Linked DNA regions of Macaca fascicularis. The protein of the gene in region 6 interacts with the protein of the main gene of each other region in a pairwise test. Links are inferred from orthologs where the notes say so. Each region holds a gene or a part of one and is shown on either strand. Other genes may lie near its edges. The genes, in order: ATPAF2, PRMT1, MVK, PLSCR1, YY1AP1, EWSR1 and SMAD4.

Evidence for each region.
Region 1: the proteins of EWSR1 (region 6) and ATPAF2 interact in binary tests that used the Homo sapiens proteins (3 or more experiments, as listed by UniProt). The two-hybrid records come from large-scale screens. The link is inferred for Macaca fascicularis from reciprocal best matches to the Homo sapiens genes EWSR1 and ATPAF2.
Region 2: the proteins of EWSR1 (region 6) and PRMT1 interact in a two-hybrid assay, tested with the Homo sapiens proteins (2 studies listed by BioGRID and IntAct). The link is inferred for Macaca fascicularis from reciprocal best matches to the Homo sapiens genes EWSR1 and PRMT1.
Region 3: the proteins of EWSR1 (region 6) and MVK interact in a two-hybrid assay, tested with the Homo sapiens proteins (2 studies listed by BioGRID and IntAct). The two-hybrid records come from large-scale screens. The link is inferred for Macaca fascicularis from reciprocal best matches to the Homo sapiens genes EWSR1 and MVK.
Region 4: the proteins of EWSR1 (region 6) and PLSCR1 interact in binary tests that used the Homo sapiens proteins (3 or more experiments, as listed by UniProt). The two-hybrid records come from large-scale screens. The link is inferred for Macaca fascicularis from reciprocal best matches to the Homo sapiens genes EWSR1 and PLSCR1.
Region 5: the proteins of EWSR1 (region 6) and YY1AP1 interact in a two-hybrid assay, tested with the Homo sapiens proteins (2 studies listed by BioGRID and IntAct). The link is inferred for Macaca fascicularis from reciprocal best matches to the Homo sapiens genes EWSR1 and YY1AP1.
Region 7: the proteins of EWSR1 (region 6) and SMAD4 interact in binary tests that used the Homo sapiens proteins (3 or more experiments, as listed by UniProt). The link is inferred for Macaca fascicularis from reciprocal best matches to the Homo sapiens genes EWSR1 and SMAD4.

The regions. Positions count from the first base shown.
Region 1 is NC_088390.1:18,133,044-18,135,350, reverse strand, and holds the end of ATPAF2 (ATP synthase mitochondrial F1 complex assembly factor 2), read left to right. Parts: intron 1-1,383; coding exon 1,384-1,521; 3' UTR 1,522-1,807; downstream 1,808-2,307. UniProt on the Homo sapiens protein: Plays a role in the assembly of the F1 component of the mitochondrial ATP synthase (ATPase).
Region 2 is NC_088393.1:57,649,796-57,653,929, reverse strand, and holds the start of PRMT1 (protein arginine N-methyltransferase 1), read right to left. Parts: upstream 2,801-4,134; 5' UTR 2,757-2,800; coding exon 2,562-2,756; intron 170-2,561; exon of another isoform or gene 168-169; coding exon 114-167; exon of another isoform or gene 110-113; intron 1-109. UniProt on the Homo sapiens protein: Arginine methyltransferase that methylates (mono and asymmetric dimethylation) the guanidino nitrogens of arginyl residues present in proteins such as ESR1, histone H2, H3 and H4, FMR1, ILF3, HNRNPA1, HNRNPD, NFATC2IP, SUPT5H, TAF15, EWS, HABP4, SERBP1, RBM15, FOXO1, CHTOP, MAP3K5/ASK1, MICU1 and NPRL2.
Region 3 is NC_088385.1:116,439,316-116,443,424, reverse strand, and holds the start of MVK (mevalonate kinase), read right to left. Parts: upstream 2,801-4,109; 5' UTR 2,765-2,800; coding exon 2,588-2,764; intron 1,652-2,587; exon of another isoform or gene 1,638-1,651; coding exon of another isoform or gene 1,560-1,637; intron 486-1,559; coding exon 338-485; intron 1-337. Other genes in the region: corrinoid adenosyltransferase MMAB, read left to right, coding at 2,982-3,097. UniProt on the Homo sapiens protein: Catalyzes the phosphorylation of mevalonate to mevalonate 5-phosphate, a key step in isoprenoid and cholesterol biosynthesis.
Region 4 is NC_088376.1:49,326,399-49,329,048, forward strand, and holds the end of PLSCR1 (phospholipid scramblase 1), read right to left. Parts: intron 2,498-2,650; coding exon 2,336-2,497; intron 1,434-2,335; coding exon 1,377-1,433; 3' UTR 501-1,376; downstream 1-500. UniProt on the Homo sapiens protein: Catalyzes calcium-induced ATP-independent rapid bidirectional and non-specific movement of phospholipids (lipid scrambling or lipid flip-flop) between the inner and outer leaflet of the plasma membrane resulting in collapse of the phospholipid asymmetry which leads to phosphatidylserine externalization on the cell surface.
Region 5 is NC_088375.1:105,421,265-105,425,351, reverse strand, and holds the start of YY1AP1 (YY1-associated protein 1), read right to left. Parts: upstream 2,789-4,087; intron 2,752-2,788; exon of another isoform or gene 2,565-2,751; intron 2,283-2,564; exon of another isoform or gene 2,161-2,282; 5' UTR 2,024-2,160; exon of another isoform or gene 1,823-2,023; intron 1-1,822. Other genes in the region: DAP3 (small ribosomal subunit protein mS29), read left to right, coding at 2,833-3,156. UniProt on the Homo sapiens protein: Associates with the INO80 chromatin remodeling complex, which is responsible for transcriptional regulation, DNA repair, and replication. Enhances transcription activation by YY1. Plays a role in cell cycle regulation.
Region 6 is NC_088384.1:22,388,233-22,391,732, forward strand, and holds part of EWSR1 (RNA-binding protein EWS), read right to left. Parts: intron 2,501-3,500; coding exon 2,333-2,500; intron 1-2,332. UniProt on the Homo sapiens protein: Binds to ssRNA containing the consensus sequence 5'-AGGUAA-3'. Might normally function as a transcriptional repressor. EWS-fusion-proteins (EFPS) may play a role in the tumorigenic process.
Region 7 is NC_088392.1:38,670,748-38,674,247, reverse strand, and holds part of SMAD4 (mothers against decapentaplegic homolog 4), read left to right. Parts: intron 1-1,819; coding exon 1,820-2,032; intron 2,033-3,500. UniProt on the Homo sapiens protein: In muscle physiology, plays a central role in the balance between atrophy and hypertrophy. When recruited by MSTN, promotes atrophy response via phosphorylated SMAD2/4.

The DNA.
Region 1 (2,307 bases), on a different chromosome or scaffold from region 6:
ACAAACAGAGGAATAACCTGAATTATGTATGTGATGGTATACAATGAAAGTATGGAATACTCTTCAGATGACTTATTACAATTGTACAGTTTGGGACCAGGCAGCCCAGAAGTTCAAATAGCTTGTGTAGCATGGCAGATTCTGAGTTCCTGGATGAGCTGGGGCGGCCAGGCCAGGCCTCTTGGGCAACTAGCCAGGGAGGAGCCAGCAGGGTCTGGTTGGAGTTACACTGTCTGGACAGCCACACCGTGTGTCTGAGGGTTCCTCCCTCTTGTTTTTAGAGCTCCAGACCCATCCTGGCTAACATGGTGAAACCCCGTCTCTACTAAAAATACAAAAAACTAGCCGGGCGAGGTGGCGGGCGCCTGTAGTCCCAGCTACTTGGGAGGCTGAGGCAGGAGAATGGCGTAAACCCGGGAGGCGGAGCTTGCAGTGAGCTGAGATCCGGCCACTGCACTCCAGCCTGGGCGACAGAGCGAGACTCCGTCTCAAAAAAAAAAAAAAAAGAGCTCCAGACAGAGAATCTGCAACGTGTCCCCAGTGTGCAGAGCAGAGGCATCTGTAGTTCTGTGACTACCACAAGAGTTAGAGTTGAAGCCACTGCATGGCCTTGCTTGATTTAGTTATTCCACCCACATGGGGCTCGGGGTGCACTTGTAGCCCAGCATGGCAAGGCAACTTGCAGAGGCTGTCCGTTCACAGGCTTCCCGGGAGGAAGTGTAGGAGAAGGGATGGCACATAAGTCAGGCCTCCTCAAAGAAGTCACATGGGTGGTTCTGGTACCCAGCCTGCTCAGTGGTGGGTGGGCAGCTACTGGCCCTGGGCCTGGACTGTACTTCTTCTAGACCATCCATGCCACAGAAAGCACAGGTGCCTGCTCTGGCTCCCTGAGTGGTTGTGTGTGTGTGTATGTGTGTGTGTGTGGTGCTCTTGAGACAGGGTGTTGCTGTGTTGCCCAGGTTGGAGTGCAGCGGTATGATCTTGGCTCACTGCAGCCTCAACCTCCTGGGCTCAAAGCAGTCCTCCTACCTCAACCTCTCAAGTAGCTGGGACTATAGGTGCACCCCCACCACACCCAGCTAATTTTTAAAACTTTTTGTAGAGATGAGGTTTCACCATATTTGCCCAGGCTGATCTTGAACTCCTGGGTTCAAGCAGTCTTCCTGCCTTGGCCTCCCAGAGTGCTGGGATTACAGGCGTGAGCCACTGTGCCTGGCCCACCTCGGTGTTCTTACCTGCCGCCTCCCTCTAGGCATGTCTCGTGTTTTGGCAAGATCCAAACCTGTTGCCCTCAGCCGAGCTATTGGAATGGAATGTGGCTTTGGCCAGGAGGCAGCCAGGCACTGGCCACTCACCCAGCAACTTGTCTTGTCTGTCCCTCAGATCCAGAAGTGGGGCAACATTGAGTGGGCCCATGACTACGAGCTGCAGGAGCTGCGGGCCCGCACCGCTGCCGGCACCCTCTTCATCCATCTCTGCTCCGAGAGCACCACAGTCAAGCACAAGCTCCTGAACGAGTGAGGCCTGGGCAGCACACACTCAGCAGGATAGAGGCAGCGCAGCCACAGCTCCCCCAACCTTCAGGGCTCCTCAGCCTGTGGGGCTGACTTACTTGACTTTTGGGGCCTCGGCCTCAGCATCACCCTGAGATTTCCCTGAAACACAGTGCGCTAGTGCGACTGTCCGGAGGTCAGCCTGATTTCAAACCAGGTGCCCCTGGCCTGGTCAGCAATGAATGTGGGAGATGAATTGTACAACTAACTTTCTCTCAACCCTGATTTTATTAAATATTTCTCCACCCTGGAAATGTGCTGAGCCCTGTTTTCACGTGCACTTCTGCACTTCTCTATTCTTCCTGTTTTGTCTAGGTTCCAGAGGGTTAAACAGCTTATCTCCCATGGCATGTTTGGATATCTGCTGCCTGTGGTTGGGAACCTTGTGCTGGGGAAACAGTCATGTCATCCACAGACAACTCTATTTGTGTTCTTCAGCCTCAACTTGAAGGCTTTTTTTGGCTGGCTTTTAATCAATCTTTTGAAATGATCGTGGTTTAAGCTGGTTGTTTCTATTTGTTCCTACTGTTCTAAAACAAGTGATTTACTCTAGAAAGTAGAAAATGGACAGGCTTGGCGAGGTCACTTGATGTGCATGTTTCCGCTCATCTCCCACCCAGGAGTCCCAGGGGTCCTCCCGACATAGCCACCTCTAATGTCCCAGGAGGCAGGTGGTGCTGTCTGGTGTCACGCCAGTAAGAGGGCAGTGGGGATCCCGAGTGTGGTTCTTAGGCAGACAGGCTGTCTCAGTCCT
Region 2 (4,134 bases), on a different chromosome or scaffold from region 6:
ACTGGTTTGAAGCAAGAGGGGTATGGTTAGACCTCAAGAAAGGGCCAGATGTGTGGCAAAATATATTGATGTGGAGGTCGGGGTGGGAAGGGGTCTCACAAAAGGATATTTACTTCTTCAAGAGGCGGCTGGAGGCTCATCCCATTAGCCAAGGTGGCTACAAAATTCTAGGAGAGAGTAACAGGGAGAAAGGATTAGCTACTGGGAGTGGCTGCGGGAGGGCTGGGCGCGGGGACCTGGGCTCTGGCGGGGTGGGAGGGGGTGGGGGGGGGTTTCCAGCAATTCTCCTTCTTGGCGGGGAGTGGTGGCAAAGAGGGCAAGTAATGAGGTGGGGTGTTTAAGAAAGGGATGGGAAAAGTGAGGGGAGAAGAAAGGGGGTCTCCTATCCCAGCTGTGGCTGGAGAGATGGTGGCCTGCCCCCTTGTTGCCCCTCTCTGGCCAGGCAGCTGACCACACACCTCCCCCATCCAGGCCAGGGGAACTGGCACCCACCCCCGCCAGCTGTCGCTCCCTCTCATCACCTAATCTCCCCCAGATTAGGTGACACTTCCTGACACACACACCCCTATCCCAGGGTGCCATGAATAGCAGGAGGGAACGAGGCTGGCAGGGTATGCCCACAGGGCATCTGCCACCTCTGCAAACCAGTCTCATGTCTGAGAGGATTCCAGAATAGAGGTGTGGCACACGGGCACTTCCCCAGAGCTAGTACCCCAGCCCCCAGCTCCTGCCTTGGACTCAGGAGCCCCAAACAAAACCAGCTGGAACCAACCCGCTCCCTTATGACCCTCTGCCCATGAAGGTAGGGTCCCATGGAGGATGGGCAGCTCCTGGACCCTCTTAAGAATGAGCGGGCTCCAGAAAGTGGCTTGGGGGCGCGGTGGCTCACACCTGTAATCCCAGCAGTTTGGGAGGCAGAGGCGGGTGGGTCACCTTAGGTCAGGAGTTTGAGACCGGCCTGACCAACATGGTGAATCCCCATCTCTACTAAAAATACAAAAATTAGCTGGGCCTGGTGGCGGGTGCCTGTCATCCCAGCTATTCAAGAGGCTGAGGCAGGAGAATCGCTTGAACCCAGGAAGCGGAGGTTGCAATGAGCCGAGATCAAGCCATTGCACTCCAGCCTCGGTGACAGATTAAGACTCCGTCTCAAAAAAAAAAAAAAAAAAAAAAAAGTAGCTTGGGGAGTCAGCCCATCGCCCCCATTTCAGACACCCATCCCAGGTCCTGAAGACTTCCAGGTGTGGCCAAGCCTGAGGCCACCTCTGGGAAAGTTATTTCCTCCGCCCACAGAGCCCCAGGTGCAGGAGACAGCCAAGAGGGTGCGAAGTCATTACAGTGACCCCTGGGAGCTGCATCCTGACAGCTTACAGCTGACCTGCCCCCCCAGTCAATGCCATGGGTAAAGGGGTGGAAGGACAGAGGCCCCATCAGATTACATCTCTTCCAGATGTGACCACTCCAAGAAGGGCCACGTCACTGGCCATGACCTACTAGGCTCCAAACACCCTCCCCCCAGCTCTCCCAAGCCAGCGGGGATGCCTATAAGAAAGGTGCTGCGGGGGTTTCCCGCTGGGGCCCATTTATCACCACCACTGAAAACTACCGCCAGACAACCCCAGCCCGAAGGCTTGAAACGCAAGACTGAAACCTCCCCCACATGGCTGCACGAGAACCAAACCTCACTTGAAACCATTTCAGGCACCCACCCTCAGGACCCCGGGGCTCAGGACCCCTACACAGGGCTTCAGGAAGGGGGAGGTCATCTCCCGCCCTCACAAAGGCCCAGGAGAGAGAAAGCGCTCCAGCAGAGGGTAAAGCTCTCAGCCTACGTATTTCCCACAACTCCTTCCCAGCGGACGTACCCTCCTCCCTCCGCCCGCCAGGAAGAAATCCGACGGGAGGTGGGCTTCAGGACACGCCCCATGAAAAAGATGTCCCTCCCACACACCCAGAAATGGCCACAAGGGGGTGCACGGCGCCTATTAGTGGGAAAATCTCCATCTAGATGCCCCACCACCACCCAGAGGGAGGTCACAGGGGCATGCCCCATCCCCCAACACCTAAAGCCCTGGGTGAGGGGGAGAACTCTAGGAGGGGAAATGGGGTCAGGGGGGCCCCATTCTTGGTTTTCCTCCAGTCCCTAATCCAGAACGCACAAATCCAGGGCCGATATCCCAATAGATGCCCCTGGAGCTCGGAAGGAGGTTGTAAAAGGCACTGCTCCTCCCAAAAGACACTCTACATCGTGGAGGGCCCCAGGTCGCTCCCACCCCACGACGTGTGCCCGGGTCCCTGGGTAGGAGGGCTGGGGGCCTCAGGAGGGTCGGACCCCCTCCCCGCCCCCCCGGGCGCCCCTCCCCGGCCGGGGGCGGGGCCTTTGTCCCGCACGTGGAGCCCGCCGGGCCACCGGACTCGGCACACCCCCTCCCCACCCACCGCGCCGCGGCCACGTGGGGGCCTGGCCGGAAGCGCCCCCAGCCCTCCTCCACGTGGGAGGGGGGATAAGACCCTCCGCTAGGCCGGATGCCGAAGGCCCTTGAAAGCTAGGGAGCCGTCACCTCAAACGATATCCCCGGATGTGGAGCGTGCGGCGCCCCCGTGTGCGGCGGGGGACCTCCAACCCCATGTCGCCAACTTAGAGCCCTTTTCCCACCACAGAGGCGTGAAACATCGACCCAAAGCCGACCCCCGCCCACGGCGGCGCTCCAAGCGCTCACCTCCATGATGCAGTTCGCGGCCTCGGCTGCCGCCATCTTCACCCGCAACTACTCCTCCTCCAGCCGCCAAGACCCCCCCTTTCTCCTCACTCCCCCGGGACCGCCTTATACCAGAGGGTCCACGGCCCGCCTACCGCGACCCCGCTGGAAGATTTCATTGGCAATGGAGGCGGCCCGTCTGAGAATACCGTCTGATAATTGGCTGGAGAATACGTCCATCATAGGTCAGGGGTTTGCCAACACTGGCGTCCAGAATCCCGCCCCCTCAAGTCGACCCGAGATGGGGAAAACTGCCCGTCTATTGCAAGAAGCGCGACTGGTGATTGGGCAAAATCCACGAGGAATGCCCGCCCCTTTACCCCCAGCACCGCCTCAAAGCTTCCCGGGGAGCCCCGCGCTAAAGGGGCGTCTTGAAACAACTGTCCATCACCAAAACGACCCGCCTCTTAATCGCTGCCATTGGTTTATCCGGAAGTGACGTCACGCGGCCTTTCACCCTCGCCAAGCGGCCAGTCTCAAGGAGAACACGACAATTGGCCCACGGGTGGGGAAGAAGGCGGGGCTTCAGGCACCAACGATTGGCTCAAAGGAACGATCACGCCTAGTCCACTCGGTGGATCCTCCCAACCCGGGGGGAGTCTCGAGGAAAAAGGGAGCTTGTGCTCATTACCTGGGAGAAAAACTGAGTAAGTGAGAGGCCCAGAGAGAGGAATGGCATCGCTGGGGTCCCCAAGCAAGTGAGGAATAGGAGTCCGCAGTTAACACATTAAATCCCTAGCCTTTGACATAATCATTCAAAGTTTTTAAAACCCATCAACCCCTCTCAAGGTACTTGGTTTTTGCCGAGTCCCTCCCCCTGCCAGGACCGCCCACCTCTCTTTGTCTTGTCAGCTTCTAAACGAGAATCAGAGCGCAGCTTAGGCACCACTTCCTCCGGGAAGCTTTGCTTGATTTGCAGGAAAAGTTCCTAGTTGAATAAGGCTGAATGCAAAGGGCCGAATGCGTGGGTCCTGCCCCTCCTCTCTCTGATCCCTCTGCTTCCCTCCGCTCACACTCCTCTCCAATCCCGGAATGAGCTCGCTCTTTGGTTTCTGGGCCTCGGTGCAGGCTATACTCTCTGGCGTGCCGCTGGCAAACGCCTGAGACTTAAAAATTTCCGATAGGATTCGGGCGCAGTGGCTCACGCCTGTAATCCCAGCACTTTGGGAGGCGGAGGCGGGCGGATCACTTGAAGTCAGGAGTTCGACACCAGTCTGGCCAACATGGTGAAACGCCCATTTCTATTAAAAATACAAAAATTGGCCGGGCGCGGTGGCTCAAGCCCGTAATCCCAGCACTTTGGGAGGCCGAGACGGGCGGATCACGAGGTCAGGAGATCGAGACCATCCTGGCTAGCACGGTGAAACCCCGTCTC
Region 3 (4,109 bases), on a different chromosome or scaffold from region 6:
ATGTCTATGTCCCCGAGATCTTTTCTATCATTTATACACATATTTATACTTAAATACCTATGTTTGCTGTTTTGCATTTTTTTTTCACTCAACAATAGGCCTTGATGATCTGTCCACAACGGCCCACACAGATCCAATGCATTGTTTTACACTTTTAAATTAAACAAAATAAATAAGTGAAGCTAATTTTATAAGGTCAGGGTAGAAAACACGCTGGCAATAGCTGGCCCCTGGCTCCCTTGGCGGGGGACAGCCTGGAATACCTGGCCAGCTGCCCTCTCTGTAGGCTCTCACCACCTCTGGTAAGGCTCTTACGATTTCTCCTCCTTGCACTCACCCAGAAAGCTTGTGTCCAGTAGCTGAAGCCTGGCCACATCCCAGGCCCACTTGATACCAATGTTGGGTAAGCTGAGGTCCACTTTCCCATTGCTGTGGGGTTGAAGCCGGAGAAATGTTCTCAAGTTCAAGGCTACAGCCAGTGCTACCTGTAGAATAAAGGACAAAAGCAATAAGCCTGAGGGTGAGTGGCAAAGGAGCCAGGGCCCACATGCTAACAAGAGAGCAAACATGAGCACAAAGGCCACTCCCAGCCATGCCCTTGCCAGACACTGCTAACCAACTTTGGCATGCTCTCCCACTAAGCCTGGGGACAGCCACCATCGATCAACTAAAAGTTAACATCCACTTTGCCTTCTTCCTGAAAAATTTCACAGGTTCTCAACACCAAGGAATCACTTCCCCATAATCACCATGTTTTCAATGAGAAATATAAGAACATAAAGAATAGCAGTGAGAGGCCAGGTGTAGTGGCTCACATCTGTAATCCCAGCAGTTTGGGAGGCCAAAGCAGGAGGATCACTTGAGCCCAGGAGTTTGAGACCAGCCTGGTGTCAAACCACGTCTTTACAAAAAAAACAAAAGAAAAAATTAGTAGGGTGTGGTGGTACACACCTGTGGTCCCAGCTACTCGGGAGGCTGAGGTTGGAGGCTGCAGTAAGCCGTGATCACAAGATTGCGCTCCAGCGATCTCAGGAAAAAAAAAAAAAAAAAAAAAAAAAGCAGAGTGCAGCAGGAGTAGAACCTAAGACAGACTTAGGTTCACACCAAGCTCTACCAAGGTATATAGGACTTGGATCAAGTTACCACTTCTCTCCTAAGCCTCGGTTTGCACATTTGTAAAACAGGGTAATAAAAGGGTATGCCTTCGGGGTAAGGGTAAAATGAGGTAATGGATGTTTCCGACTCCTTTGCTAGATCATCCTTCCAACTTCTCCATGTCTTAGTGCCCCGGAGCTCAGTTCTCAAACCTCTTCCTTCTGCATCAAAGCTCACTCCTAGGTGATCTCATTCCACTCATAGGGCTTTATATCCCATCTTTTTGCTATCATACCGAGTGAGGCCTGAGAATCCCTTCAGTGGGCATAAGATACCTTTTCCTTGCCTGGCTGAGGAGAAACTGACATCTCTGATCTGCTCCCAAGCTGTGCTTCAGGTGTCCTGCAAAATTAGTATCAGGGAGAAGGGGTACCCAATCCTTAAAGGCTCTAACGGCTTTGTACCTTGCCATGTACCACGGCATGTTCTCCATGAAGGATGACTTTCCCCGGAGCAGACACCAGTAGGACTTCTGACAACATGGCTCCTGGGAATCCTAAAAGGGAAAGCCAGTGAGAAGAGCAAAGATCTCCAGATGTCAGAACCATCAGGAAGAGATCTTAGAACACCTAGTTCAAGCCCATCATAATAACAAAAAAGGTAGACACCGTCCAGCACTTGCTATGTGCCAGAAAGGCAATGCAGCAATCAACTGGACACATCCAACAGATCTGGGTTCAAATCCCAGCTATTCCACTCCCCAGTGATGTCGTCTTAGCTAACTCACTTAAACGGCTATGAACATCGGTTTCCCACCACGTTATATGGACAGAAAATAACCGTACGCACCTCAGTGGATGTTAGGAAGGTTAAATTAACTCAAGGGAAACACTTAGCAGTGTCTGGCACCTACTAATCATTCAATTACTGAGAGCTACTTATTACTGGCTCTGTTCTTCGTTTCAGCTTTTACAACTACTACTACTGAAAGTAGAAATTACATGAAATCATGGAGCAGAAAGAACTCTTTGCTGGACATTTAGGCTGTTTCCAACGTGTCACGATTATAAACAAGGCCACAGAAAACACCCAGTACGCCTCGTTCTGCACACTTAAATGAGTATTTCTGCAGGACAGAGTCCTAGAAAGGGGCTTGCAGGGTCTACAGGTGTGTGCAATTTACACTTTTATAAATAACGCAAAATTATTCCCCGCTTAAGGTTTTACGTTGATTACCTTACACTAAGATTCAAGTGCACTACGAGCTAAGTACTATCGTGATCCCCACTTCTTAGAAAAACTGAGGCTCAAAGCGGGGATTCCCCTTGCTTGTCCCAAGCTCAAAATCACGACTGTCAGATTGAGGTCGCCGACCCCTCGGGGCTGACTCTCAGAGCTGGAGAAACTGAGCCACAGAAACTGGGCGCCCGGCTCAAGGCCGTCCTGGGTCTAGGACCTCGCGCCACCCGGCCCCGCGACCCCGGCCTCTCACCTGTCGCCGCCGCCGCCGCCCACGCCCCGGCTGCCGCCACTCCGCGCCGGAGCCGGAGCAGCTCCCGGACTCCTGCAGCCTAGAGCGCCCGTGCCTCAAGGGGAGGAGGCCTTGGCCTTCAGCCCAGCCAATCAGAGCGCGCAAGTCTGGCGTACTTTTACCAATAGGCTTGAACATTGGTGGTGATGCAGCCAAGCCGGCACGGGTTTTCCCGCCCCGCTTCTTCCGTCAAACCAATGGGAAACAAGTCCCTGGGAGTGTCCCGCCCTGGGGCGAGAACCTCGAGCCAATGAAAATTGACAGCTGAGCGGTGGCGCGGCCAGCTGTGGGTGGAGTCACTCCGGGGCCTGGACGGGAACCTGGCGGGGTCAGCTCCCATCAAGAAGCCTGGCTGATGGCTGTGTGGGGCCTGGGGAGTCGTCTTGGCCTGCGCGGATGCTTCGGCGCCGCCAGGCTCCTGTATCCCCGTTTCCAGAGCTGCAGCCCTCAGGGCGTGGAAGACGGGGACAGGTGAGTGGCTGGCAGGAAGGGTAACTCGAACACCTGCTTTGAATCGTGGTGTCGTCGTCATGGGTACGTCACACCGTCGTGAGGTCACGGCGGCACCCGTCCGGTGACGTCTCCACGCTGTCCTGACGTCACCGTGGCAACGTGGACCACGTGGGCGCCAGAGACCAGGTAGTCTTTGCCTAAGTCCCAGTGAAACCCGGCTGTCATCGGGCAGGGCATGGCATATCCCGTGTGGGCCAGCAGGGCTCTCGACTCAGATTGTGACCAATTTCCATAGCAGTTTATCCCCCAGGTCCCAGATACACCAGCACCTTCTAAAGATGGCTTTCCTCATACACCTTGAAACTTGCACCCAACCCAGACCTCAGAACCTCTAGAGTACCGTGGATTAATAATGGATTAATTTAGTTCACAGATCCAGGAAATTAACCTTCGAATGGCCTTGTAGTGTCACATTTTAATTTTGAGCTATGTCACTGAGTTGTTTACATTGTTATTTGAAAATGCCACTTTTTGAGCTGTATTTTGGCAATTCTTCATCTCTGAGTACACTCGAAGCCTCATAGTATGGAAGTGGCTCAGGCTTCTTTTCCTGCAAGAGGCCCTAAGTTGGTGGAGTGTAAGGTAAGAATTTGGGTAGGATAGAGTTAAGAGTCCTAGCTACTTGGGAGGCTGAGGCAGGAGGATCCCTTGAGCCCAGGAGTTCAAGACTGCAGTGAGCTATGATCATGCCACTGCACTGCATTCCAGCTTAGGCAACAGAGCAAGACCCTGTCTGTGAACAAAATAATCATAGGCCAGGTATGGTGGCTCACACCTGTAATCACAACACTTTGGGAGGTTGAGGTAGCCGTATTGCTTGAACTCAGGAGTTCAAAACCAGCCTAGGCAACATGGTGAACCCGTCTCTACCAAAAAAAAAAAAAAAAAAAAAAATTAGCCGAGTGTGGTGGTATACACTTGTGGTTCCAGCTACTGGGGAGGCTGAGATGGGAGGATTGCTTGAGCCCGG
Region 4 (2,650 bases), on a different chromosome or scaffold from region 6:
GACCACATTTTTCCTGGACGCCGGACAAGAGCCTGGGAGCCATGAGTGCAGATATAAAAGGCACTAACACTCGCCCTTTGCCCTTGCTGGTGGAGGGCAGCTGTCCCACGTGACAAGACAAAGGGCTCACGGAGCTGTTAACACTTAAGCTGTCCACAGACTGCAGAGCTAAAAGAGCACCGTAACACACCTTCTGGGGCTTCAGGAATCGCAGGCAACCGCACCTGGTTGCTACCACAGGGCGTGCACGGAGTTTGCTCTTGCCCGTGCCAAAGCGGTCAGCCAGTTCCAGTGCTTGTGCACTCCAGTTCCTGCCTTGTTTGCCTGCGCACTCCCTCCCAGGAGGAGTTGAGAGTGGCAGGCTGAGTAAACAAGACACCCCTTCTCGAGTCCCAGGAAGGGGTCAGGGAAATATCCTGCTTCAAATGTACCATCATTTAACTGAATGAGTGTTCAAAATACCATCTGAACACATTTTGTTTAAAAACAAAAGTCAAATATACAAAAAAATCAAGTTTTTATTTCAAATATTTGAATCTAATAGATCATTATTTAGGTTTATTTTCTGTGAATATATATATATATATAATATTATATTTAATTAACATCTGAAAATTACCATTTTCTAGAAAGGATAGAGTATAAAAGCTATACATTTCATATATAAATATTAACTTTCAAAATTTATAATAGTACGAGTTTTAGAGTGAAGGAGTGTTTAAAATGTGCCTTTCTTTGGACAAGAATCATTTTGTTCTTTATTTTGTTCTTTATTTAACAATAATTTAAAAACTGGTAATTTAATATCTTGTGAACATGAATGTATCATTTATGGTACAGCTTAGCTTCTAGGAGAAGTTAAGTGTAGCATGATTTCTTGAAGATTAAAAAAATACATTTAACTTTTTAAAGATAATATACATATTGAATATTATTTGAACATAACAGTAAAGAAAATTATCTTTGAACTTTTTTGAATATATGGCATTTGCAAAATAACATTAGCTATTATGCATGAAATAAATTGTAACTAGATTTAAAATATAATTTATATAAAAATTAATAAGGCCTTAGTTAATATTCGGTAGTAAAATGGACAGTGGATCAGAGATCATAATTCAAAGCAGTTTTTTATAGGAAGTTTCATTAATAAATGCAAAAACTCAGATGCCCTTTTTCTCAAATTCACAATGAGTATTAAAAAATGTACAAAAACCTTTATAAATCAGTTATACAGAAGATAAACTATAATTTGAAAAGCAAAAGTATACAACCAGAGCTACAGGCATTACAGCTTAATTCACACAGGTATGAGTTTAGATAGTCTCAATCAATTTACGGACTTCAGATTTCCTGAGGAGACTTTCACTAATCCACTACCACACTCCTGATTTTTGTTCCTGGCTGCCAGTGCTTTCAAAAAACATGAAATCCTAGATAAAAACAAAAATATACAAATGAATTTTCAGCAACAAAACAGAGATCAATGATCAGATGCAGAAATACTAAGGGATCTAGTGAAACACAGTAACATATCTGTTAAAAAAATTAAATGTAATAAACACAGAAAAGCTCTATAGTTATATAAGTTCTACCTTTAGCTTTCCATTTTAATAATAAATTTTATAATTCTATTCATGTATTGATACCTGTATGAATTTAATTAATCTTCCGGTTATTTTCTCTAAATGTGACTTTTTCTCTATCCCCATAATTCTCATCTGTGGCTGCATATTGGAACCACCTGGAGCACTATACGAACTTCGAAGTTTGACTCAGTTGAACTGAGGTATGGACTAGTACTTACAGTTTTTAAAGGTCCCTAAGTGATTCTAATGTGAAGGCAATTTCAGAATCACTGGTATATCCGATTATCTCCTGTAATTTGGTAGTTAGGTCTACACACTTGAGTGAATGCACACTCTTACTGTAGTTCATACTCCTATATTAGATGGTTTAATTTAATTACTATGAGTCATGGTCAAGTTTCCTTGTTTCACTAAATTTTTTCCACATATGCCCGCTTTCAATTTCTTCAAAGCATGTAGGAGATGGCTGATTTAAGGGGAGACTAAAATCTCTCCTCAGTACGCCTCCTTAGTCCCTCTCTTGCCATGTGAATATTCATAGACTCTTCAGACAGAAACTAGTCACCCCAGAGTGTCAGGATCAAATAGAATTTCAGAGCTAGGATTAAATGGGAATCCTGATTTAAAAATCTATAAATTTTAAAAAGTCATTTTGAAATATACACTTTACTGAATCATTTCAGAATGATTAGTAGAAAGCATATAGAGAAAGCATCTATAATCAAGATTAATAAGAACAAACTTACAATGAGGAAACAGGCACCAATCATTACAGCTTTCATTTTAACATCAAGGTCTAAAGGGAACTGGATTCCAAAGTTATCAGCATCTGTAAATGCCTCTCTCAAAATTCCAGTCCAGTGCTTGGAAATTTTGCCAACCACACACTGTTCATCAAGAGATTTAATCTAAATTGAAAAAAAAGTATTACATATTTTTAGGAAACTTATAGCAAAAGTACTTTCAAATTTGAAGATGAAACAAATATGGTATTAAAATTATGTACCATATGTAACCATGAACATGTAACCCTCATTAGATAACTAGAGGCTCCGGTATCT
Region 5 (4,087 bases), on a different chromosome or scaffold from region 6:
TCCGAACAAAGAAAATGAAAGGTTTTCAAATGAGACCTAAATATAAATTGGCTCTATTTCATTACACTTTAAGTTCCTAAAATCATATGTATAAATCATGTGATTGGGCTTATGTTCATCTTCTAACTTGAGGGCCCAGTGTCTTTCATCAGATTCTCAGAAGGATAAATGACCCCCAAAAACTTTTAAGAACCACTAATCTAGCCTATCAAGAAACATCCCATTTTCCAGAAGAATACAGTTAAGTTGGCTTAGTTCATGCACTCTTTCCTTATATTCACAGAGGGGATTCTTACTATATGAAATCAATCTTTCAAAGGATTCCTTCAGCCCAGCCAAGAAGTTCCAACATCCACAGGTACGTATATTAACAATCACCAGAACCCAAAACCAGTTCTCTGATTTTAATTCCACACTGCTTCACTCAACTCAATATCTACCACTGTCAAAACAATTCCCCTCATATTGCATCCAGGCTATTTACAGAGACACCATGATTATCCTCACCCCAAGACATGGACGATTTATTGAACAGGCAGTCAACAAATATTTGTTGAATGAATGAAAAAGGATCTTTCCTCCCACAGATTTCAAGTTAAGCTGTCAGCACCCATGCAGCTGCTCTGGTAGAGGTTAAGCTGTGAAAGCCTTCTCTCCCTCACACGTACAACCTCAAGTGTCAGAAATGCTCTGCTTCCCCCATAAACAAAATAATATAGCCATGGATATGCATTTCATACAGGTCAGACCGGGCAAGGACATCTACTTTCCACATACATATCTGACACAATCGGTCTCCTCCAAATACAATCCAACCAGTCACATGTGCTCCTATCTTTCCAACATACTCAGATTTGCCGACAAAGACTTCCTGAGGCACCATGGTATGCTGAATATACTGCTGCAGCAGTAGTGAAAATATGGGAGTTACAGTCTCAACTTTGTCACCAATTTAATATGCGGCCTTGGAGAAGTTCTCTCCTTATGCCTAAATTAACTATTTTGTAAAATGGAAGAAAGCATCCTACCATTTTCACAGAGATTTAGTATCACAAAGAAATTGAAAGCGCTTTCTTATTGTATTTCTAAACTATTACTATAAACCCGCGACAACAAATAAGGCCACCCATTCTTTACAGCTTTGTAGCAATGATTCTGTTAAAGATATTTTGGGCCTTCACATTTACACAACTCACTCTAACCAAAGGCACAAACTATTAAGACCACAACTGGCTATGCTAAGTTTCTCCCCTCCATGACCTCACAGACACATGCTGTATAGAACACTACCATTGCCACTCTTTCCCAACAAGTAACTAGGGGCTCCCAATCCCTAAAATACACACACATATCAACCTGCAAGGAACCTCCCAACATTTATTCAAGAAATAAGCTAACTTATAACGGGAACTCCATTACACTTACACAAATCAAGGCAAACTCTTCCGGAAACACTTTCCATCCTCGCATACACACACCAACACAGCCGCTACACATCAACAGACCATCTGTCTTCTAGACCAAAAACACCTCTTTCCATGTACAAACTAATCAGTGACATTTATTAAACTTACAACACTGAGATCATCCTGCCGTTCCTACATACCGTTCAACGCGGCAGGGACACCACAGACCTTGTCACACAGGTAAACTCCCCTCTCAGGATCGTGTCCTCGACCACTCTTATCCCTTAATTAAACACACACAAACTGGACTATGGGGGAGGCTCCGATCATGCCTACAAACACAAACTAACCTGTCAGGGGCACAGACGGCTCCGCCTCCACTCGCTTACTTTCCAGCCCCCTCCGGGAGTCCGCCTGTCAGGGACACCCCTTCACCCCGCGTGGAGGGACTTCCCGGTAGGCTCAGGATCCCCCTCCCTGCTCTCCCCTCCCCCATCTTCACCACTGCTCTCCCGGAGGTCCAGGTCCGGGAGATGACAGTGGCTCCCAGGAAGCCCAGGATTCAATCGCTGAGAGAGTGCTTAGGCCCGAAGGCCTGCCCAAATCGTTCTACTCACCGTGTCGGAGGCCGAGGCCGAGAGCGACGAGAGTGCAGGGAAGTGGGGAAGAGGGGGTGGCCGCCAGGCTCCTCCGCTTCCCTGGGTCCACGGCGGATCCCTCCCGCTTGTCAGGAGGCGGCCAGCGGGTAAGCTGACTGGCGGAAATGCGAGAGAGGAGAAGGGAAAGGTGGAGGCTAAAGGGGGCAAACTGAGGGGAGGCGGGTCCCGCAACCGAGACTGGGATCGTCTCCCCTCCGCAAAGCGAACCCAAAATGGCGGCGGGAGCGGCGGCGGCGGCGGCGGCGGCGGCAGCAGAGTGGCGGCGGTGGCGGCGGCTGCTCCTCCAGAGGGAGGGAGCGAAGGGCGTCTAGCGCCCCCCCAACCTCCCACTCCTCCCTCCTCGCGTTCTTCCCCACCGTCCCCCGCTCCGCCCGACTCCGGCCGCGTAGCGCGCACGCCCGCCCGCAAGCGTACGAGTGTCTACGGGCTAGTCGCTGGCTGCTCCCACCAACCACCACCTTCGGCCGCCCAGCGCGCCAGCCAGCCCGTACGCGCTCACCCACGGGAACCTCCTCGCCCAGTCCCCCACTCTCCCTCAGGCCCTGTCAAGCCGGCTCCGGCGCAGGCCCTCACGCGTACCTTAAGCCGCGCGAGCCCAAGCCTCCTCCACCTCCTCTTCCCGCCCCCACGGCCACCAACCGCCGCCAAAGAAGCCGCTGCCAGCACAGCCCCCCCCTCGACCCTCCAACCCTCGCGCGTGCGCCTTCCACAGTCCCCCCCGCCAGCGGGACTGTTCCATTCCTGTCGGCTGCAGGGGCAGGAGAGGAATGGGCCGGCAAAGCGAGTCTGGCTTGCCGTTTGACTGGAATTGCCAGGGTGGCGGGCCGAGTCCCACGACAACCTACCTCCCTGGGCTCGTTCCTGCGGCGCTGCGGCTCGCCTCCTCCTCCACAGGACCCCGGCGAGCGGATCGAGGGCTGTCTAGTGCCCCCTCTGCCGGCCGGTGGTTGGAGGCCGCGGCGGCTGCGCGTTGGGTCGTTTCCGGCCGGATGACCCGAGCCTTTTACGCAGTCGCAGGACGGGCGCTTTGGAACCGGCCCTTGGCAGTGTGTGTCAGTCGTCTGGTCTGGAGAAGTAGTCCTCGACTCACGGTGAGGGAGTGGACCGGCACGGGGGATGTATCGCTGAGGGAAAGGAGCGGGACTCCGGACCTCCGGGAGGTAGGGAGTGAGGCCGGTAGGACCGGCGTGCCTCCGTGGGGATTCCTCCCGGGCGCTGTGGTGCCAACCTGGGACCCGAGGAAGATCGGCCTGGTGATCTGCTTGCTGTTGTTAACCCGCCTCGGATTTCTCGAATTTCACACTAGTGTCCATATGCGATTTTGTTTGTTTGCCCCTGACGCGCTACTTATGGATAGTACTTCTTCAGCCTCGTTAGACAGCCTGGTGATAGAGGATGAAGAAACCATGTGCTTCTCATTCAGTTCTGGACTCAGTCTCCCTTGTTTTCAGCAAGCTATTTTTCTTAGTTCCTTATCAAAAAGTGTACATGAAAATTAGGCAACTCCAAACATGCCTCCAGGGTTGGTGTGTGAAATAATAAGATAGGGCTGGGCGCGGTGGCTCACGCCTGTAATCCCAACACTTTGGGAGGCCGAGGCGGGTGGATCACAAGGTCAAGAGATCGAGACAATCCTGGCCAACATGGTGAAACCCCCGTCTCTACTAAAAATACAAATATTAGCCGGGCGTGGTGGCGGGCTCCTGTAGTCCCAGTTATTCAGGAGGCTGAGGCAGGAGAATTGCTTGAACTCGGAAGGTGGGGTTGCAGTGAGCCGAGTCCGTGCCACCGCTCTCCAGCCTGGGTGTCAGAGGGAGACTCCGTCTCAAAAAAAAAAAAAAAAAGCCGGGCGCAGTGGCTCACGCCTGTAATCCCAGCACTTTGGGAGGCCGAGGCGGGCGGATCACAAGGTCAGGAGATCGAGACCACGGTGAAACCCCGTTTCTACTAAAAATACAAAAAATAAGCCGGGCGCGGTGGCGGGCGCCTGTAGTGCCAGCTACTCAGGAGGCTGAGGCAGGA
Region 6 (3,500 bases):
AAAAAAAAAAAACCCACAAAAACAAAAAAAGTCAAAACCACAAAAACAAAAAAAAATCATCTGGTATTAGGCTTCACAAATCATGATATGAAACAATAAGGATACATATTTTAAAATCCGATTAAACTACACCAGGAAGTTCGAGGCTACAGGGGACTATGACTGTGTCACTGTATCCCATGCCTGGACAACAGAGTGAGACCTGGTCTCCAAAAATAAACAAACAAAGAAACAGACTAACAAAGCTTCTAATACACCACATCCCTCACCATTGCTGTATGAATTCAGTAGTGTCTCACTGTGTACCTATCCAACTTGCCAGATTAACTACTCTCAACACAATAGGTACGAACCTGCTCTGTGGAAGAAGAGTTGTAAGCCCTGCCCACTTTTGCTCCAAGCTGGCTGTAATGAGAGACACCCAATCAATTCTACTTGTTCCTAAACCTGTTCACATCTGCTGCAAAAAAATGAAATAAGTGCAAAAAAGGGAACTGCTACTTCTAGCAAAACTTTTAAGGCACAATTCAAACAATTTGAAAACCCACATCTAATTAAACATGGGTTAAAAAACTTGCAGGCTGGGCATGGTGGCTCACACCTGTAGTCCCATAATCCCAGTACTTTGGGAGGCCAAGGTAGGCGGATCACTTGAGGCCAGGAGTTCAAGACCAGTCTGGCCAACATTGTGAAACCCTGTATCTACTAAAAATACAAAAACTGGGCCAGGTGCAGTGGCTCATGCCTGTATTCCTAGCACTATGGGAGGCCGAGGCGGGCAGATCACCTGAGGTTGGGGGTTCAAGACCAGCCTGACCAACATGGAGAAACCCTGTCTCTACTAAAAATACAAAATTAGCTGGGCGTGGTGGCACCTGTCTCTAATCCCAGCTACTCGGGAGGCTGAGGCAGGAGAATCACTTGAACCCAGGAGGCAGAGGTTGTGGTGAGCCGAGATCGCACCGTTGCACTCCAGCCTGGGCAACAAGAGCGAAACTCCGTCTCAAAAGAAACAAACTGGCTGGGTGCAGTGGCTCACGTCTGTCATCCCAGCACTTTGGGAGGCCGGGGCAGGTGGATCACTTGAGGTCAGGAGTTCCAGACCAGCCTGGTCCACATGGTGAAACCCTGTCTCTACTAAAAATATAAAAATTAAAAAATAGGCCGGGCGCGGTGGCTCAAGCCTGTAATCGCAGCACTTTGGGAGGCCGAGGCGGGCGGATCACGAGGTCAGGAGATCGAGACCATCCTGGCTAACACGGTGAAACCCCGTCTCTACTAAAAATACAAAAAGAAATTAGCCGGGCGTGGTGGCGGGCGCCTGTAGTCCCAGCTACTCGGGAGGCTGAGGCAGGAGAATGGCGTGAATCCGGGAGGCGGAGCTTGCAGTGAGCCGAGATCGCGCCACTGCACTCCAGTCTGGGCGACAGAGCGAGACTCCGTCTCAAAAAAAAAAAAAAAAAAAAAAAAAAAAAATTAAAAAATAAATAAATAAATAAAAATTAGCCAGGTATAGTAGTGAGCACTTGTAATCCCAGCTACTCGGGAGGCTGAAGTAGGAGAATCGCTTGAACCTGGGAGGTGGAGAGTGCAGTAAGCTGAGATCGTACCATTGCACTCCAGCATGGGCAACAAGAGTGAAACTCCATCTCAAAACAACAATAAAACAAAAACAAAAATGAGTCAGGCGTGGTGGCGTGCACTTGTAGTCCCAGCTACTTGGGAGGCTGAGGCATGAGAATCCCTGGGAGACAGAGGTTGCAGTGAGTGGAGATCGTGCCACTGCACTCCAGCCTGTGCAACAGAGTGAGACTGTCTCAAAAAAGAAAACTTGGCCAGACAATAATAATAATAAAAATAAAAATAAAATGAATTGCCCAAACATTAAAAGGTTAGAGCATGAATGAACCTTTATGCATTAGGTAAAATGTAAAATGTGATTTATAATGTAAAAGGTGATTTATAATGCCCTGCACTTTACTTATCCTAACTGCATTGGGGAAGGTGGCTCTTATGGTTCTATTTACATGCTTTCATATACTTCTGCTTCTTATCTGAGTTAACTAAAACAGCAAAAGGAAGAACCTTAAAGGAAGAACTTAGAGTGATAAAAATGTTTTTGTCTGTATTTAGAAAGTTTAGTTATTAGCTGCCAGGCAACACTACGGGACCCTAGAACTGAGACTTTAATGTAACTAAGTATGATCAGATGACTTATTACTCCGACAGTCAGACAACATACCTTACCTGAAGAGGTCAAAGCAAGCTGGTCAACAACCTGAAAACAACTGTTTTGTCACTGTTTTTGTTTTGCTACAGAAAGTAGACTGACCTGGTAGGAGGGTAAGATGGAGGTGCGGTGACTGGCTGCATGGGGTAGCTCCCAGGTACCTGGGGATAACTGTAGTTACTCTGTCCATATCCTAGGCTGGGCTGGTTGTAACCCCCTGTGCTAGACTGAGGTTGACTAGTCTCAGTGGGCTTGTTTCCATCCTGTGGTCTAAGAGGAGAAATAAAAAATAAATAAAATTACACAGTGACTTTTTTTGTGTGGTCTGCCAACCACAAAACTCCTGGGTAAGAATGCTATAAATCCATAAGCAATAAGCAATGTTATGATTAAGCCTGGAAATAAATACAATAAATACAATCCTAAAGTAAACTACATCAAACTGAGTGCTGGTCCAACTATATTTGCTTGAAGACAATGCTAAGAAAGGGGAAGAACCAATTATATCCACAGAAGAGACATTAATATGTGCCATTCATCACAGTAAAAGCTATAAAAGAGCGTTGTGATATTCTGTCCTACCAGTTTAGGTGATCCGGGAGACGTGATCTGTTAGGGAATAAATGCTTTTTCTCAAAGGGGACTGCTGAAGACTAGAAACTAACAATAATGTAAGTTTTAGTTTGGAGTAACATTTACGTAAGTCCATGGCATCATAAATTTAGAGAATTTGCAGGTTTATGATTCTTATTTATTAAAAACAGACCAGGGCAAACATGGTGGCTCACATCTGTAATCCCAGCACTTTGGGAGGCTAAGGTAGGAGGATGGCTTGAGCCCAGGAGTTTGAGACTGGCCTGGGTAATATAGGGAGACCCCACCTCTACAGAAATAGAAAAATGTTATCCAAGTATGGTGGTATATGCCTGTGGCCTCAGCTACTTGGAAGGCTGAGGTGGGAGGACCGCTGGGGCATGGGAGGTGAAGGTTGTAGTGAGCTGTTAATCGTGTACTCCATCCTGGGTGACAGAGAGACTCCATCTCAAAAGATGCCGGGTGTGGTGGCTCATGCCTGTAATCCCAGCACTTTGGGAGGTCAAGGCAGGTGGATTGCCCGATGCCAGGAGTTCGAGACCAGCCTGGCCAACATGGAGAAACCCTGTCTCTACTAGAAACACAAAAAAATTGGCCTGTCGCCTTGGCTCACACCTGTAATCTCAGAACTCTGGGAGGCTGAGGCGGGCAGATCACGAGGTCAAGAGATCGAGAC
Region 7 (3,500 bases), on a different chromosome or scaffold from region 6:
TTGCAGATTTCTATACTTGTTGATACCTTCAGTTTTACCTGAGAAACATTATGGATTATCTGGGGTTAAAGAAATCTGTAGACCAGTAGAGGTTTCAAACTTACATTTGGGAAGTTTAGCCAGCATATTTAAGGCAAGAAAGATTTATGAGTCATAACTGTTTAAAAGCAGAATGCAGTAGGTACTTAAAGATATTATGATTGCTGATTACACTGAAGAGTCACCTGAAAAGCAAAAGCAGTGAGTACCAAATTGACCAGTTGTATCCTCAAATCAGCTAGCAAAACCAGTAAGTCGGTAAAAAGATCCTGGCCGTTATAACAACAGAAAACCTAAAATGTCCAGGAATTATTTAGAGATGTCAGGATTTATATGAAGAAAATCATTGAACTTTGTTGAAGGGTATAATACAAGGCTGAATAAGTGTAGACATACCAATTTTATGCCCCATTTTTTTTCTTTTTATTATTTTTATAATTTGGCCAATGTTAGTGATGAGTGATTGTGTTCAGTTTTTTTATCGATACATAATTTGTTAAACATCCTTTTGATTATCTTTTTGTTTCTGTAAAATTTATAAAGAGGAACTTTGGAATGGGATTTATGGGGTCTTCAGAATATCATCGTCATGACTTTTGATGCATGAACGTACTTCTTAAGAGGTTTTTAAGAGGTTGCACATAGAAACTTGCACAATGGATGATTATTACTGCCTTGAAATAGTCTCAATTTAATAAAAAATACCCATGTAACTTAACTGATATTTACATGTAGATTTTTTTCAAAGGTTGACATAGGGAAAGATAAGGGAAATGATATGCTGGTTCTTAATGAAAAAGGGAATGTCTTTTTGTGGTCTACTAATTTACTGCTTTAAGAAGAGAACCTACTATTAGTTCAGTGGATTGTTAAGTTCTGGAGTAGTGTTAGTTCAGAAGCAATAAAGGATTGGTTGTTAAACATAAAAAGCAAACCTTAAAACAATAACCTAGAACCAAAAGGAAGGTTCCAGGCAGAGAATTAACATTTATGCAGTTCAGTTTCAGTTTTCTTTTTCTCATACAACAGAGCAAACTATTTCCTGGTTTGTTAATGGAAAGGTGTTATGCTATATCAGCTGGAATCTAGCTTTACTTATGAAGGTGTAACCACATAGGTGAAAGATTGATTACTGAGTTTTCTCACACCATATGTTTATCAAATACTCTTATTTGGGTTGGGTTTCTAGAGGGAAATTTCAGCTTGACTTTTCATTTAGAATTTTTCTGTTTGGTTCTAAATCTATAGGGGACATTCAGTACACTTCATTTTTAAAGAATATGTTACTTAACAATAATTCTAGATCCTGGAATTGGATATCTGTCAGATCCCACTGATATCTCCACAGTGTGAAATTAGCAAAAGGATGTAGTTAAATACTCAATCTCGATTTAGACCAAATAATTGTTTTTCTCAGCTGGATACACATTTTCCAGCCTTTTGGTTTTTGCCTGCCTTATGTATTTAGGTGATGATTATTCTACGTTTCTCAAGAAACTGAGGAGTACCTTTTTAGGATTGTTGCTGGAGGCTGTTGGAACGTAGACTAGCTTCGAATTTGAGAGTCAGATTGATGGATAAAATATATCTGATGCTGTTACCATTAAATAAATGACTTGCTGGTAAAGTAGTATGCTTTTAAAATAATATGAAAAAATTCTGATTTAAAGTTATTTACACTGTAATTGATTTTAGATGTTATATTACTTGCTAATAAGATTTCTTTTTTCTGGGGATAGAAGCTTATAAAAATTTAAAATACGTTTAATTTTCTACATAGCTCCTTCAAGTATGATGGTGAAGGATGAATATGTTCATGACTTTGAGGGACAGCCATCGTTGTCCACTGAAGGACATTCGATTCAAACCATCCAGCATCCACCAAGTAATCGTGCGTCAACAGAGACATACAGCACCCCAGCTCTGTTAGCCCCATCTGAGTCTAATGCTACCAGCACTGCCAACTTTCCCAACATTCCTGTGGCTTCCACAAGTGAGTTCTAGAATCAGATGTAGTCAGCAAGTTGAGTTTTCCTAATCATTGCTTATTTATGTGTAGTTATTTGGGGGGAAACTCCAAGTAAGTAAACATTAAAAGTAACTGTGGTATCTTTCATAGGTAAACAGGTGTTAGACAGGTATGTACAATCGCTTGGAATTTAATGGCTTTGATTAGAATATTGATTCAAATTAGTGATCTGATTTGAACTTTACTATTACATGTAGAAGTAAGTAGCCTCTGAAGCTCTCAGATAGATTTTGGAGAAATATTTAAATAATAAGTAGTTTTGATCCAAGATGTTTATGAAGGTCTGTGTTAATGGAATTGCAACCTTTCTTTTAATCCAGTGTTCTTATTTTGGTTTATCTGGGAGAATATTACCTTATAGTAGTTGTCTTATTTTCTCACTGTGCAAAGGGATCTTGACAAATTTGTTATGTATTGCTCAAGATAGACATTAAGTAATTAAGTCAATTTTGATGTAAGCTAACTTCTATATCTCTTTTAAAATTTTTGTCTGTATTTTAAAAAAATTAGTCTGTTTCAGAAGGATCCTTCTTTTCTGCCATGTCATAGGAGGTAAAGGGGCTGCTAGGTTTAGGTTTTTTGGGGCCTGATGATATGACCTGGTTCTGTTACTTATTTTCACAGTAACCAAAGGTTTGATAGTTTGCTGCCTTGCAAATGAAGTAGCTTTTTTTGCTTTTTTTTTTTTTTTTTTTCCCAGTTAATCATAGTGCATTGTCTTGGCATGTGTATGGTGTTAGTTGCATGCAATTGCTAAAGGAATTATATGTAAACCTACATTAGAATAGATTTTTGACAGCTCTGGTCTAATACTGTGTTAGTTGCTGCCAAAAGTACCATTATTCTATTTGCTTTACTATCAGATTAGATTCAACATAGAAATTTTGATCTTTGGAATAAATGGGGGACTGATTTCTGTAATTGTGAGTTTTCAAGTGAAGTATACAAAAATTTCCCCTCTTTAATTCATTACACCACTTCAAAGCAATATGTTTTTGGTTTGCTATATAAGAGATGACGGTCTCACTATAGGCAGCATATACTAAATGGGTCATATAGGTTAAGTACTTGAGAACCCAGATCCTTAATCACTTGGTTCTTCTGTTATCTGTCTACTTTTTATTTACCAAATTAGGAATATGGTTGATAAACAGTGGGTAGTGATAGAAAATGAAAGAAGGTACATTATAGCCACTTGAACGTAGATTAGTGCTAGAGCACAGCTACCTACTTCTGTTTATATTATCTGGAGATTGAATTTCTGTACCTTTGTTAATGCTTGCTAAAGTGACTTCATTTTGACTGTTTTATTCCCTAAGGTTGAGTCCTATGCAAAGATTAGAAAAAGTGATATAAATGAAATGCAGCTAATTTTATCCTGGTATTTATTGGGTAGATTTTAATAATCAAATACTGTAAATACTGTAAGTTT